Alligator mississippiensis: one gene and its partner. Each later gene encodes a partner of the first gene's protein in a complex. Links are inferred from orthologs where the notes say so. Each region holds a gene or a part of one and is shown in the gene's direction. Other genes may lie near its edges.

What was found.
Region 2: the proteins of MYO6 (region 1) and GIPC1 are in contact, whole or in part, in a crystal structure (PDB 5V6E), measured with the Mus musculus proteins. The link is inferred for Alligator mississippiensis from reciprocal best matches to the Homo sapiens genes MYO6 and GIPC1. Residues at the interface, in NP_001034635.2 of Mus musculus: Ser1055, Lys1056, Trp1057, Lys1058, Tyr1059, Ala1060, Arg1084, Arg1085, Leu1086, Val1088, Tyr1089, Trp1092, Lys1093, Asn1096; in NP_061241.1 of Mus musculus: Glu273, Ser274, Tyr275, Met276, Gly277, Ile278, Arg279, Asp280, Glu282, Leu283, Thr286, Asp310, Phe311, Ala312, Pro314, Glu316.

What each region holds. Positions count from the first base shown.
Region 1 is NC_081824.1:65,992,074-66,000,052, forward strand, and holds the start of MYO6 (unconventional myosin-VI), read left to right. Parts: upstream 1-4,971; 5' UTR 4,972-5,067; intron 5,068-7,979. UniProt on the Homo sapiens protein: Myosins are actin-based motor molecules with ATPase activity. Unconventional myosins serve in intracellular movements. Myosin 6 is a reverse-direction motor protein that moves towards the minus-end of actin filaments.
Region 2 is NC_081831.1:24,771,985-24,779,366, reverse strand, and holds the start of GIPC1 (PDZ domain-containing protein GIPC1), read left to right. Parts: upstream 1-4,296; 5' UTR 4,297-4,383; intron 4,384-5,697; 5' UTR 5,698-5,742; coding exon 5,743-6,027; intron 6,028-6,447; coding exon 6,448-6,633; intron 6,634-7,303; coding exon 7,304-7,382. Other genes in the region: DNAJB1 (dnaJ homolog subfamily B member 1), read left to right, coding at 1,029-1,597, 1,708-1,938. UniProt on the Homo sapiens protein: May be involved in G protein-linked signaling.

The sequences.
Region 1 (7,979 bases):
AAAGAGGGAGATGAGATGCTAAGAGATGTAGCTTTTTTAAGTGGACTCAAAATGCCAGAGGCACATCTCGTGGAGTTCCTTATGGAACTTTCCCTGCAAGCCTCTGAGGACACTAGAAGGATAGATTGCTAGATCCTCTTCCCTTGAGTGCCTTGTTGAGCTGAGATTTCCCGCTCATGTTACCATGCTGTTTTGACCAATAAACTTCAGTCCTGCTTCTCTATTCCAATGTCAGTGACCTCAGGGAAGGAGGTCACTGCTTCTGAGATGCTAAGGTCTAGGGCACCTTCTTCAATACTTACTAAATTGCAAGGTGTTAGGTGCCTGACTCAGCAAACCAACAAAAAAACAAACAAACGGTCAAAGATCCCTCTGGCACCTCAGTCCCAACTGTTAAATGTATGGTGGTGGTATCCACAAACCTGTGGACTGGCTTTCCCCTAACAGCAATACCTTAGCATTCACTGCCTTAGTATCTGGCACATCAATACAATGGCATGGGTCCCTGTTTCTTACAGCATGTAAAATACAGAGTAATTAAACTCTATGCCCAATGACAGCACCCCCTGACACCCTTGCTAAATAGGTGGAAAGTGCAGCTAGTTGAACTCTTGGTCAATGAGACTTTGTCACAGCAGGAAAAAATGCATGAGCAAAATCAGTTTAATCTCTTATTGAACTAGAGGAGACACTGATAAAACAGGGATTCAGGTGAGAACACAGAGCCCCCTTCCAGCTGGTGCAACAGTCATTGCCTTGAGTTACACACCCTCTGGCTTGTTCTCTTCTGGCCCACACTATCTTCCTTTCTTGGCTGCTCAGGGGGCGAACTTCAAAAGGACCACTGGGGATGCAACCGGATAACACCTAACCTGAGGTGGTTAGGGCACTGCTGAGAAATCAGAGATGAAAGTTCAAACCCTCTCTGGGTGATGGGGACCCATCACCCAGGTCTCCTGCTTCCTGGGTGAGCACCCTAGGCACTCTGCTATTCCATTTATAATTATGGGCTCTGGACAGTTACATTTTTGTGGCTTACGTGTCCAGAAAAGGTTTGCATACACAGGTGCATACCTGCCAGCCAATATGTAACCTACAGCATATGTTCAGTCTAATAAAAGTGAGTACCTATGAGTGGAAACAGATTTTGCTTTTTGTTACACTTGTATCTCCATAAAAATGTTGATGTCTGCCCAAAGGCCAAGCAAACAGACATTAAACCCTTTGCTGTGCCACAAATGCCCAAAATTTATGGCTGCAGCAAGGCGGTATTAATGTATGCCTCTTTATTGCTGGAGTCTGATTTGTGGCAGGAGACTGCCTGCACATCCTAAATGACCTGGGCGAGCGCTCTGTGAGTTTGAGGGACCAGCTCCTGTGCCCCCCAAGAATTCCTGCATGGGATCAGGTCCCTCAAGCCCTGGGAATGCCTGCCTGGCTTTCCTCTCTTACAGGGACCTGGCCCCAGGATCTCTGGGGTACACCTCCCTAGCCAGGGAAAGTTGGGTTTCCTTTACAGAGATGTGCCCCTGGGAAATATTGGGGCCATGTCTCTGTAGGCGGGGAAGCATCCTGTAGGCGGGAAAGCAGACATACGCGGGGCCTCAGGGGCCCAATTCTGCATGGGAATTCCTGAAGTATGTAGGACCAGGCTCCTCAAGTCCTGGGAGAACACGTCACCCATTGTCCCACAGCATCAACAAGTGGGACAATGGGTGATGTATGTCTCACCCAATGAAGTGGATCAGTAGTGCCAGGACACATGCCAGCACAACTCATCCACTTCATTTGGCGACTTCATATTTCTAGCCTCAGCACCCACAGTGCAAGGTAAGAAAATAACAACCTGTACCTAAGTGCTAAAAAGGCTACTTCTATGGCTAGAAAACTGCCAGTCAGGCACACAAAATGTAGTAGAATTTCATCCTTGGTGTCCACTGGCCCACAATCACCCGAGATGGCATCATGCTAGGTAATCACCCAAAGAGAAAAAGATTTGACAAGATGTGTTGTGCACATGGATTCCACGTCTCACCCATGTTCCTCACTACTACCTAGTCCTAATCCTTTGAAATTCTGTTGGAAAAAGACATGAAGGACAGTTGGGTCCACTCTATGCTTAAACCCTCCAGTACAGGGACTAGGTCAAAGATAATCTGTTGTGCAGACGCAGCCTTGATGGACGCTGTTGGGCAGAGGAATCCAGTCCCATGCACATGGAGTGGACAATAGCAATAAACCAACACTATAATACAACACACACATTCAGATGAACAGTGATAAGATCTCACAAAATCTATAGTTGTCCTCCCTCATGGTTCTCCTGGCTTTGGTACTGTGCTCTTAGGATCCTTGAAGGATTTTGATGTGCTTTATTTTCCAAGAAGCTGGGACAGCACTGATGTACTTCTTGCTCCACATGATAGATTATTTTTAGCAAACAGTAAATTCTGGAGACTTTTTTGAAAGAGTTATGTCTACATTTTCCATCTGTACCAAATGTACTTTTTTGGATTTCTTCTTTTGCATGGAAAACAGAATGTGCTTTACTTAATAGGAAGAATATAGTCATGGTATGGTACAGTCATTGGGACTGCTACAATGCATATATTATTCCTGCTTAGATGGCCATTAAGTTCAGTCTCGCTGATGAAAATTTATTTCCTAAAATGACTGTAAAGTAAAAATAGACCTGACCTAAAATCCCAAATTGGCCATCCTGCCCTTATCCATAGTTTTGGAAAAGCTTAACATGATTCAGACTCTCTAGCTTTGGTTCATCTCTTTTATAGATGAAGTTTGAGATGTCTCTTGCTGTTGGTTCCTTGTGTACAGAAAAGGTAAAAGTGAAATACATTTCATCATTTTTAGTTGGTCTAATAAAAGATACTGGATTTACCCAAAGAATGTTGTCTACCATACATTTCATCATGTATTTTATTCCAAGTCACAGAAAAATACCAAGAATAATTCTTACATCCACGTTTTAACTTTGGTGTTCATTTTCCTCTAAATTGCTTTCTTATGAGAAGTTGGCGGACACAGCTGGAGAACAAACTGTATCCTGGATTTTTTTTAGAGCTCCCCAAGAGAAAAGTATAAGACAGATATATTCTTTTTAACCAGGAAGTGGAACCTGAGGTCTTGAAGAAATTCTCTGCAGTGTTACAGCAAACATTTGGATGCACAACATCTTTTCACAAGTGTAATCTATCACAATGTTTATCTGTTTAAAAGGTAACAGCCCTTGATTTAGTCATCTCTTGTAAAGTTCACAAAGAGGAAGTGAAGTATTTCCATTCCAAGCTGCAGTCATTGCCCACAACAATTTTAAGAAATGTGTTTACCTCCAAGTTAAATAAAATTGTCCCTGAAAATGACAAATACATTGAATATCCATAAGGACACAAAGACCAAGGACCAAAGACAAAGGAATATTTATGAGTTATTTTAAAATAATTTGTTCCAAGGTTAATATAAATTTAGGTAATACAAATGATATGGTCAGGTGAAGCTCAGCAGGTCTCTCAGGAGTTTCTCTAAATACTTCCTTCTAAAAATGGTGATAACTGCTAACTTTTTTTTCCTGCTTTAGGATGATGCACCCCAAAGTTCAGCCACTCTAAATTTCAGAGTCTTTATTTGTATAGGGAAAAAAAATCCCTCAGGAAGAACCGAGTAATTTGTATACATTAAATATGTTTGGTTGACCATTTCCTGCCAGGATGTAGCCTATTTCCATGAGGCTTTTTAACTAGTCAGCACATGCTAAATATAACACAGTTTGCCATTCACATTCCCCCCTCCCCAACATAAAAATAATCCTTATCTGGGTGTATGTTCTGCAAACAGAAATCAGGATTAACTACTGTCCTGAAAGGCAATATTTGAAATGGCCGGTATCACACTCCCCTGGTCTAGGAACTCAGAACTGTCACTGGAAAAAACCTGGAATTAGTTTTAAACACCATATGAAGGCATCCGGGAGCATCCAATGAAGGGCAATAGTGGCAAAATGTGGGTTTGAAGAGACCTGGGTGCTTTCTGCCCAAAACTGAACACGTGCCCCCTTGAGTTTGCATGCACATCTGAGCCCCTGGGATGTGACATGCTCTGAACTTGACATGCACCTGCAAACACACCTGAACTTGACACAGCCACCCTCCCCCCCCGAATCTGGTGCACACACACCTACATGTGATGTGTGTGCACCACCCCCCCCCCCCCACCTTGGACACCTCTCCTGAACTTGGCACACACGCCTGCACTCCTGAATCTCACACACCTGAACCTCTCTCTTTCTCTCTCTCTCTCAGGGGTGCAGGTTGTAGCCCTGTTGGTCTAAGGACAGAGTCAAGCAAGGTTCTTTGGGTGAATCTGATATCATTTATTAGACCAACTTAAATAGCTGGAAATTTTTTTTTAGCAAGCTTTCTGGTTTAAAAACCCTTGGTCAGGCTGGGGAAACCTCTGCAGTCAGTGTTGCTTTTCCTGGGTGGATGCAATTCTTTACTATTCATCCCAGCCACCAACTGCAGAGCCTTCCCCAGCCTGACCAAGGGTTTTTTAAACCGGAAAGCTTGCTACAATTGTTTTTTTTTCCAGCTATTTAAGTTGGCCGAATAAAAGATATCAGACTCACCCAAAGCACCTTGTCTCCCTCTTACACCCCCCAACCTGTCTCACAGCCCCCACTCCTGAACCTGTTACACACACGTACGTGTTGGTGTAATAAAAGATACCAGATTCACCCAGAGATCCTTGTCTGCACACACGCACCTCGTGAACTGCACACCTGTGGACCTGTCGCGCACGCATACGCGCTCCCCCTCCCCCCGCCTGTCACGCCCAGCCCTAACCGCGGGAACCCGCCCGCTCGCCCCCGCCTCGGGCCGGCCGCTGGTGCCGGCCGCCCCTCTCCTGCCGGCGGCGCTTCCGGGGCGGGGCCGGGCCGCAGCACCGCCCCCCGCCCCGCCCCGCCCCGCCCCGCTCGCAGCCGGCGCTGACGTGCGCCTGGCCCGTGGAGCAGCAGCGCCCGCCGGACACGGAGCTCAGCAGCGCCCGGCGGTAACTGCGCCCGCGCCCCTTCCTCTCTTCTCCTCTCCCCTCCCCTCCCCGTCCACCCCCTGGGCCGCGGCGCAGCGCAGCGCAGCGCAGCGCGGGCTGCCGCGGGGCCGGGGCGGCAGGGCAGCGGCTGTGACAGCCCCGCGGGTTTGGCTGGGCCAGAAGCGGCGCCGCCTCCGCTCCTTTCCCCGGGGGCCGGCGGGGGCAGCCCGGGGAAGTGCCGCCTGGCCCGAGCCCCGCTCTGCCCCTTGGGGGCTCCCGCGCCCGGCCACGGCAGGGGCGCTTGCACCGAGTCGGGCGCTGCTGCCCTCGCCCCGCCGGGGGGGGGCCTCGTGCCCTGCCCTACCCTGCCCTGCCCCGCGGCCCGCCCGCCCTCCTCCCCGTGCCCGCGGGGCCGAGCGGCAGGCGCGGGGCTCAGGGGTGCAGGGCCTCCCTGGGGACCCCCGGAAGCCGCCCTCCGGTGACTGTTCACCACCTCCTCCTCTGCTAGATAAGTGGGACGATGATAATTAATTTCATAACACGTATTTAATTAATAATACTAGTAGTAATTATCATCATCAGAACTTCCTTACTGCTCGAGGCGGGTATCCTGCCTGCCTTGACAGCAGGGTTGTTGGTTGTAGTCTCCTGGGTCTTAAGGGCAGAGGCAGGCATGGTTGCTTGGGTAGATGTGATCTCTTTTATTAGACCAACTCCAAAGCTGGAAAAACGGTTCTTTGCAAGCCTGAAAGTTGGCAAAGCTTGTAAAGAACCTTTTTCCGACTTTGGAGTTGGTCTGTCTAATAAAAGAGACCGCATCTATCTGGGGACCCTTGCCTGCCTTGACAGCAGCCTTCTGTGGCGTTCGGGTGATGGCTTGTGTGGGATGCTCTGGGCAGGGCTGCCTGCCTCAGGCAGGGGTGAGATGATCAGCCTGAGTTTCTCAACCTGTGGGTCACGACCCAAAAATGGGTCACAAGAATAATGGATCAACATACTTTCAAAAAGGATTCTTCTTTCAAGGAGAAAATCGGGGGAAACTGGCTTTTCCCTTGCAGGTTGGCAGAGTTTCACCCTGCAAGGGGCTGCTTGGGGCACCCCTTACCCCCACATCCCCCTCCCCCACACACTGGGGGAGCTGGGACCTGGGGGCAGGGGAGCACTGGGTTGGGAGTGAGGGGCACTGGGTTGGGACTGGATATCGGTGTTAACAAATGGATCCTGGTACAAAAAAGGTTGCGAACCATTGGACTAGATGACCTCTGGAGGTCCCTTCCAGCCCTGCTTCTCTCTGACTCTTTGTCATCTAAAAGACGACAACTTCTCCATGATGCTGCTGGAGCGTCTGTGTGTGCGTTAATTCGCTTTTCCTAATGCGCATTAAATTTAGTACCGTACCTCCAATGTGAGGTACTAAATAAATGCGTGTTAGGCTAACCAGAGGCACTGTATCGAAAGCAGACATTTTTAAAGTGATATTTAATGCAGTTGTCTATTTTACTGCGCATTAGTGTTATTGCACTTTTTTGTACATGGCACTTTAATGTGCAATAAAATAAACTACTGCACATTAAAGCGTGCGTGTAGACTCACCCAGTGTCATCTAAGATGACAATTCCTTGCTACGGTGCTTTGGGAGAACCTTCCCCTCGCACAGATAACATCAGCCTATGTTAATGCTAAAGTTGCACGAGTTTTCAGTGGTTTGTTGTCTCCCCTTCAGGAGCTGAAGATGCTACTGTGGGGGTTGGGGAGTATAATTTTTTTTTTTTTTAATCCCATTGAAAACTTAATTTCTAAGCACTTCATTTTTAAATAATTGTCAAGCAGGGAAAGGTTTTGTGTGAAGGTTCTTTGCCTTATGCTTACTCAGTCATTGCCTGAAGTTCAGTGCCCAGCATGTCTTGGGTATCATTAATGTTTACATGCTATATGACAGATGCATTCCTAAGCAGTAAGTCCTATAATACCAGAAACCTGTAAAACTTTGTTGTGGCTAAATTAATGGACAGCACAGATTAAATGAAAGGGTGTTTTCTACCTCTCGCGTAGTTTACGTGCTGTTGCTGGTATGCAGCAGCCCTTTTGTTTCTGACCATGGAGCGTATGTGTATGTCATAATTTTAAAATTGGTGCCTTGGGTAGGTCAGGAAGGAAAATAACTTTCTGTGATGTGATCTAATTTCTCTTTGTTTAGCTGAAGTTATTAGGCTGTAAAATGGTCTATGAACTCAGTCTGCAGCAATCAGAGTACAAAGGTTGACAATAGAGCCTAGTTTTCCTTTGTTGCAAATGTCACAAATTAACAGGATGTAAAGAGGTTAAATTCTCGGGTCAAATTCAGCATACAGTTATTTTTCAAGAAAAAAAAAAGGGAAAACGTGTTGCTTTTCTTCTTTAAGCTGTGTGTTTAAAGCTTCTGGAATATTTTCAAAACAAAGTCTTCCTGTGGTATTTGATGAGCATTGCGACACATCTTTACATTGTTTGCCTAAGATGTGAGAATGGAGTGATTGTAGACAAAAGTGAAACTAGTTGACTTATTTGACTTCATTGTATAGACTGGCATAAATGCAAAATAAAAATATTGAAAAGTAAACATTTACTAATCCTTGAAAGTATTTTTACCATGGTAAAAATATAAATTTTAACTTGACCGTATCTTTCAGTACACTTTTTTAAAAAAAAACAGAAATAGGTTAACTAATTACATTTTATAGAACTATAATAGCAGCTTTGTGAAACATAAAAATCTTGAGAATGACTGACTACACTAAGAATAAAGACAATACTATATAATTTGATAGTCTCTGGTTATAATTTTAACTTGTACATCCAGTTTATATTAAATAATTGTATCTAGTATCTTTTTATCTTAAGTTTTTAACAAGGCTTTTGATACTATCCCATTTGACATTCTTACAGGCAGGCTA
Region 2 (7,382 bases), on another chromosome or scaffold:
GTGCGGGCTTGGAAACTGGCCAGATGAATCCTTATCTCTTGCTGCTAGCTGCTAACTTTTAGCTTTGACACTGTAAAGAGTCCTTATTTCATGCTTTCTTGGGGCCTGTTCTAAAGCTGAAGGACAAGGACCTGGGGCACAGTGTGCTTGCCTGACTCCCCACCTTAAGGGTGGAAGTGTCAGGATTGGTCTAGATCAAGCCTTTAATTTAGCACTGAGGGCACACAGGCTTGTTCTACTGCTCCTTGCATGAGCCTTGCAGCTCCTGGCTCATACCTGTGACTGAGCTGTTGCTTGGAGACAGTGGGTGAGGAACCAGAACTGGCAGAACAGGAGAGAAAACATCCTGAAACAGCTTTGCAGTTTTTGTAAAGCTGGCCTGTGTTCTTGGTAGACATTGAGCTTGCCCTTGTGTGCCAAAGTGTTGGCAGGTCTGTGTGGATTGGCTGTGTTGGGAGAGGTGGAGCCTTGCAAGGGCGTGGCTTGGAGTTACAAGCAAACAAATATGCTAGAATCTTCTGTGTTAACTTGAACTCCCTGCAGCCCCTGCCTTAATCTCCCAAGGCAGGAAGAGCTTGCCTTGCTGTTTCCAAGCACCCTCAATTGCTATTGTGCCTCTGGGGCTGCTGTTAAGCATGTGTTTTCCTTCAGTTCAGGAATAGGAAGTCCATAGGCTCCTACGTTCCCTGCCTTGATATGGGGAGGGGGAATGTTAACCCAAATGATACAATCAAATTCACTGTATAAACTGATCTGTGTTTGAAAAGCTGGAAGCTCTGGATATCAGAACTCTTGGAGGTGACTCTAATTTCCCTTGTGATTAGAGAAAGTACTTGCCAGGTCAAGATGAGACTTCTCTTCTGTGAGGCACCTCAGAACTGAAGGATGAGACAAAATGACAATGGTGGTGGGAACAGAGGCCAAAAGCTTGGATGGTTCTGGAGCTGGGGATCTGGAATCCTGGGGTAAGCACATGAGTGAAAGTGGAGACTGATAAACTAACAGCAGGTTTATTGCCTGTTTTTCAGGGCTAAAAGGAGGTGGCTCCAACATGGGAGGTGGTGCTAATGGCCCATCATTCACCTACACGTTCCATGGAGACCCTCATGTTGTGTTTGCTGAGTTCTTTGGAGGCCGGAATCCCTTTGATACCTTCTTCATGCAGAGGAATGGGGATGAAGACATGGACATTGATGACCCTTTTGTCACCTTCCAAATGGGAAGTTTCAGCAATGCGGGTTTCCCCCGCACCCGAGGGGGCCACAACAGCCTTCGCCGGAAGCAGGACCCTCCCATCACGCATGACCTGAGGGTCTCCTTAGAGGAGGTCTACTCGGGCTGCACCAAGAAGATGAAGATTTCTCACAAACGTCTCAACCCGGATGGGAAGACGACACGCAACGAGGACAAGATCCTAACCATTGAGGTGAAACGGGGGTGGAAGGAAGGGACCAAGATCACATTCCCCAAGGAGGGTGACCAAACGCCCAACAACATTCCAGCCGACATTGTCTTTGTTCTAAAAGACAAGCCACACAGCATCTTCAAGAGGGATGGCTCGGACATCATCTTCCCAGCTAAGATCAGCCTCCGAGAGGTGAGTTAGGGGGTCTGGGTACAGGACTCGCTGGAGTTCTAGCTTTGGGTCTGGGGTGTACAGACCTTTTGTTGAATTTCATGGTCTCTCTGACTTGTCTCTCTCTGCAGGCCCTGTGTGGCTGCACGGTGAACGTCCCAACGCTGGATGGCAGGACCATTCCCATGTCATTCAAAGACATCATCAAGCCTGGAGCAAAGCGCAGGATCACTGGGGAAGGTCTCCCATACCCCAAGAACCCAGACCAACGCGGGGATCTTATCATAGAGTTTGATGTGCGGTTCCCAGACAGAATCCCCCAGACATCCAAGAAAGCTCTGGAGCAGATCCTTCCCATCTAGTTTGTGCAATCTGTGGACCTGAGACCAAGACTGGCTGAACACCAAAGCCTGTGGGACCATAGCCTTGGGCTCCAGGCTGGGGCTCTGGGAACTTGGTTTCAGTGCCTTGACCCAGAACATTGCTTGAATCACCTACACCAGTGAGCTGCTACATTTGGGAGGAGCCTACAGACACACTGCTGACAAATCATCTTGTAAGGATGTGACCAATGACTCAACCCACTGTCTGCATCCTGGGCAGCCCTAAATAGGACAGCTGCCTTGCACTTCATCTCTTGCTGAGTTGGAATCCCTTCACCATGTGGGGGGCATAAACTCCAAACTGGACAGTCCTTACTGTTGTAGTCCTTGCTTTGTGTCTTGTGTTCCTTGTTAATTCACTGGAGAACTTTTATCCTGGGTCACTTGGATGTTCTTGGCTATGAATTCCCACCTCAGAGTCCTGCCTGCCTATTTTGTTTGCTGGAAGGTGGATATACTCTCGCTGAACTTAATTGTGGGTCTGTGAAAATAACCCTGGTAAACACTAGGGCTTAAACAAATGTCTTGAAGATGAGATGAAATGAATAAGCCCTGGAGTTTAAACCAGTAGCTATCCAGGCCTAGAAAAATAATGCAAAGGGATTTCCTGGGTCTTAAATATAATCTGCTTTTTCAAATCTTTTTTCTGAAGAGACTTTCATAGATGCATCCCTCTACATTCTTGGGCTCAATTCCTGGTAGGGCAATGGGCTGAGCAGGTATTGCCTGGTTCTTGCATCTCTGCCAGCAGCAGAGTCTGACTCCTTTCCTTACTCACAGTTGCTGTCTTAAACCAGAGGATTTTGGCCAACCACTGAACTCTGGGGCATTTGAGGCCTTGGCCTCTGAGCTTGTTAACACCACCTTTGCTATCCTTTTTTAATTAAAGGGTTCCTGCTCCTGGTACAGGAGCATTACAGCACTTCTTGTACATACTTTGTATAAAAGTTGTGTAAATTTGACATGTAATTAAAATGCAGTGGAGAGGCTGGTTTATTTTATAGGATTGTATCTGAATTAAAGACTCATGGGAGGAGCTGGTGACCTTCCCTTTTTTTAAACATGCAGCACTGTTTTGAAGTATGGCTGGACTGACAATTTTCAGTTACTAATGTGATAAGACCAAACTGGGGTTACGATTAAAGTCTTGGTAGCCAAAGCCCTGTGTGGCCTTATTTGGGGGAGAGGTATCTGTCCTGATGTGGGAAGCAATATTGAGTTGCACTTGTTAGACACTGAGTGGCTCAAAGTGGCCTTTCCCACAGCTGCTGTTATTTTACTAAGGCAGGGTTTTAAATAGGCTAGATCCCCACTGGGAAGGGTGGGGACAGTGGGTGTAGGGCTAAGATTAGGTGAAGCAACTGCAATGTAGATTCCCTGCCCTGCGTGGAACAAAAGATATGCAGGTGCCAGCTTAAAAGAGCCAAGACCTACGCTCACCCAGATCTTTATTAAAGCCACTAGCAACTACTAGCCCTCATCCTGTGGGTGCAGCTTTTCCTGCTTGTTGGCCTGGCTTGCTGTACAGGGGTGTGTCCCACAGCCCCTTGCTGAATGAACAAGGGTGTGGTGAAAGCCCAGAGGCCCAGACGCATTCAGCCCCTGTTACTCCTTAGGAGAAGGATAGAGTAGGATTTCCTGTTGGCACAGGTAGCAATTACATGACACTCCCAGGCAGAAGCAAGATCCTGGGTTTTCCCAGCCGGTAGCTTCCCCTGGGTTGGGCCCTGGCCGGATCTACATGCTTTTCTCCGCAGCTGAGGGGATCTCGGAGCCTAGATCCCTGCCTTCTGGTCCCTGGCAGCTACAGCCAGACACCTGCATTCCGGGACAGGCCGTGCTGCTTGCGCTCGGCTATAAGACAATACGGGCCTCCTGCAGCCACCTCCCAGAAACTACGGGTCCGGGCGTGCCTCGAGCGAGCATTGTATGACGGGACTTGTAGTCCAGCGCTCGCGCCGATGTGGTTCAGTGCGTATGGTCCCGCCAAGACCTGCGAGACCCCCGGGATGCACCTGACTTGGCTGCCCACCCGACAGCACACCTGATTGGCTCGTTCTGGCCGGATCTGGTCTGCAATTGGCTGGGGGCGTATCCAACTCCTCTGAATGGTCTCTCCTACGCACTCAGCAAATGTTAACCCCTCCCCCCCAACCACTCCCCGCACTCCCCTCTCATGGTACCTCCCACCTTCCCCTTCCCTGGGTTTGGACGCTTCCAACTGCACCCAGGCGGGGGAAGCGGCTGAATCCGGAACGGCCCACCCAGCCCTGAACGGCAGGCCGCGCTGCGATTGGTCGGCGGCAACGCAAGGCCGCTCTGTGATTGGCGGAGGCGCTGAGGCTGGTCCCGCCCCCCCTCCCGGCGGCGCAGGCCCCAGCTGGAGTTGGGTGGAGGTGCGGGGTGGCTGGCGCGGGTGGACGCGTGAGTGTGGGGCTGCGATGGGGGGAGGGGGCAGGGGTCTTGAGCCGGGCGGAAGGCGGGGGCTGGTTCTGGGGTCTGTGCCGGGCGCGCCGGGGGGAGGGCACAGAGCGGGGCGTTAGGGCTGGGGGGAGCAGGGTTGCCATGTGCCCCTGGTCAGGGGTCCTGCCTTCTGCCACTGCCGGGCACCCAGGCCATGACCCCCCCCCCCATCGGGCAGGAGCACAAGGCAGGACTCCTGGGTCCGGTCCCAGGCTCAGCCATTGATTCCTCTCCCCCCGACCTGACATGTCCCTCTGTGCCTCAGTTTCCCCACATGGATGGGGGAGCCCCTAGCTGTTGGCTTCCCGTTTACTTACCCGTTTGGCTTCCCTGAGGCACCAAGGGAGCAGGGATGAAACCTGGGGGCAGTGGAGTGTAGGAAGTGCTACACCCCCACCCTACACCCCCCCCCCCCATGCCCTGGCTCCTGCCCACACTGCCCTGGTGTTGCTAGGCCCTGCTCAGTCACAATGGCGAGGTTGCCTTTAACTTGTTCCCAGGCAGGAACCCTGCCCTCCCTAGGCACATTAACAAGCCTGGTCCTCTACCTGGACCCAGGCCCACAGCAGGTAGCTGCTGGGGACCTACCAACCCCCTGGGTGTGGGGCTGAGCCAGGCCCCACGACCTCTGCCAGGCCCCCAGCACCTGCCAGCTTGGCCTGCAGCATGCAGCCACCTCTGGGGGGGACCAGGCCCAGAGCCTCTGGAGAGACCAGGGTGGAGGAAACATACCCAGCTCTGAGCATGCAACAGCTGAACTGCCACATAGAACAGGCTGGAAAGATGAGTACAATAGACCCAGGTGTTGCAGGGGGACTGAGGCCTTTTCTGGCTCTGGGATATGCAGTCCCAGGAGAAGGCACTGGAGGGTCCCTGGCAGCTGGCATGGGGGAAGTGGTAAAAGCTTTCCTCTGCCCCAGGAAAGGGGCAGGGGGTGGGTAGCCACATTTCCCGGGCATTGGAAGAACCCGCTGGGGCCCGTTCCTCAGCTCTGAGTCAGCCGGGCATGGCAGCTCCACCCGCATTCCAGTGCCTGGTGCCGGGACCCCCCTGCGCTGGCTTCTACCTACCCCTGAGGGGACAAGGAATCTGGGAGAGCATCCTGGGGGGGAGGAGCCATCTTTGGGGTCCAGGGAGCCTGGGAGGGGGTGCAAGGGTGGTCTGGAATCTGGGGTGGGGGACTGGTGTCCTGCGGGGGTGCAGTTTCAGTCTGGTGCGGCAGCTGGGCTGGGACCCAGGTGCCCTCCCTGCAGCCTCTGTCCCCCCCCCCAACAGGTGTCACCCGTGGGTGCTGGTGCTGGCCGTGGTCCCCCTGCCCTCATGCCGTTAGGCCTTGGGCGCCGGAAGAAGCCCCCCCCGCTGGTGGAGAATGAGGAGGCAGAGGTGGGGCGTGCGGGGCCAGGTGGGGGAGATGGGGCAGGGGGTCCAGGAGGGCTGGGAGCCCTGCATCCTGGCCTGCCTCCCCCGCCTGCTGGCCTGCGACCCCGCCTGGTCTTCCACACACAACTGGCACACGGCAGCCCCACAGGCCGCATTGAGGGCTTCACCAATGTGCGCGAGCTCTACGGCAAGATCGCTGAGGCCTTCCACATCCCCCCCACTGAGGTGCCTAGGGAGGAAGGGGCACAGGACCTGGAGCTACAGGGGGCTGAAGCTGTGGGGGAGGCTGGGGACAGGGGGTGTAGGTGGAGGGATAAGGGGCATGGGACAGGTCTAGTGGGTGGGGGGGGCAGACAGGGAGACAGGTCCTGGGGGGCAGCCGGTGTGGCTGTCTGAAGGGATGGGTTTAGGGCCTGGGGTAGGTGAGCAGGTGGGAGGCTTGGGGCAGAGGGTGAGGATGGGTGGAGGGATGATGATCCAGGGCCTGAGGGGCCCGGTAGGAGGCAGGGGTGGGCAGGGGGTTTGAACCTCAAGGGGGGAAAGGATGGGGGTCCTGGGCCTGGGATGCAAGAAGACAGGGTCTGGGGGGTGAGAGGCAGGGAATGGGGCCTCTTGGTGTTGCTCACCACCCCTCCCCACCCACAGGTGATGTTCTGCACCCTCAACACACACAAGGTGGACATGGAGAAGCTGTTGGGGGGGCAGATTGGCCTGGAGGATTTCATCTTTGCCCACACACGGGGGCAGCGCAAAGAAGTCGAGGTGCTCAAGGCTGAGGATGCTCTGGGGCTCACCATCACTGACAATGGGGCCGGCTATGCCTTCATCAAGGTGGGACCTGACCCACAGCATCTGGTGCCCATCACTCCTCACCCACAGCCCCCAGGGTCTGGGTGGGATCACAGCCCTGCTGTCTCAGCCCAAATCTCTGGCATCTGCTAATCCCCAGTTTGTGATGTTCTCCAGTTCCGGGGCTTCAGACTTTCGCCCTGCTGTTCCATGCTGCCATGTTCTGCCCCAAAGCTGGGCACATCTCGGCAGTGGGCAGAAGGCCCCATGTATGGCTGCAGGTCCGTGCCAGGGGCTTCAGCCCCTTCAAAGTGAGGCAGTGCAATCTGGGCAGAAGGAGTCAATGCAGGGGACATGTTCGATCCAGCTGGGGACACAGGGGTCCTTGTGCTTCAGGGCATGGCAGGGTCAGGAAAGACCTAGGCTTCGTTCCTGATCACTAGCTCCCTGCTGGTGCCCCTCACTCCTGACTCACAGTCCACTGCTCCCCCAACCCAGCCAGTGCCCCTCACTTCCAGTCCCGGACCACTGCCCTCCCCCTGCCAGCTTGCCATTGTCCCTTACTCCCAACCTACAGCCCTCTGTGGTCCCTGCCTGGGCAGGGTTAGGAGTGAGGGGCCAAGGCCAGCTGGCTGTGCCAGGAAGGCACTGGGGAGGGGGGGTGCTCAGGCTGTCCCAGCCATGAGTCCCAGTGCAACCCCTGCCCCCACAGCGCATCAAGGAGGGCAGCGTGATTGACCGCATCCCCCTCATCGGTGTGGGTGACATGATTGAAGCCATTGATGGGCGCA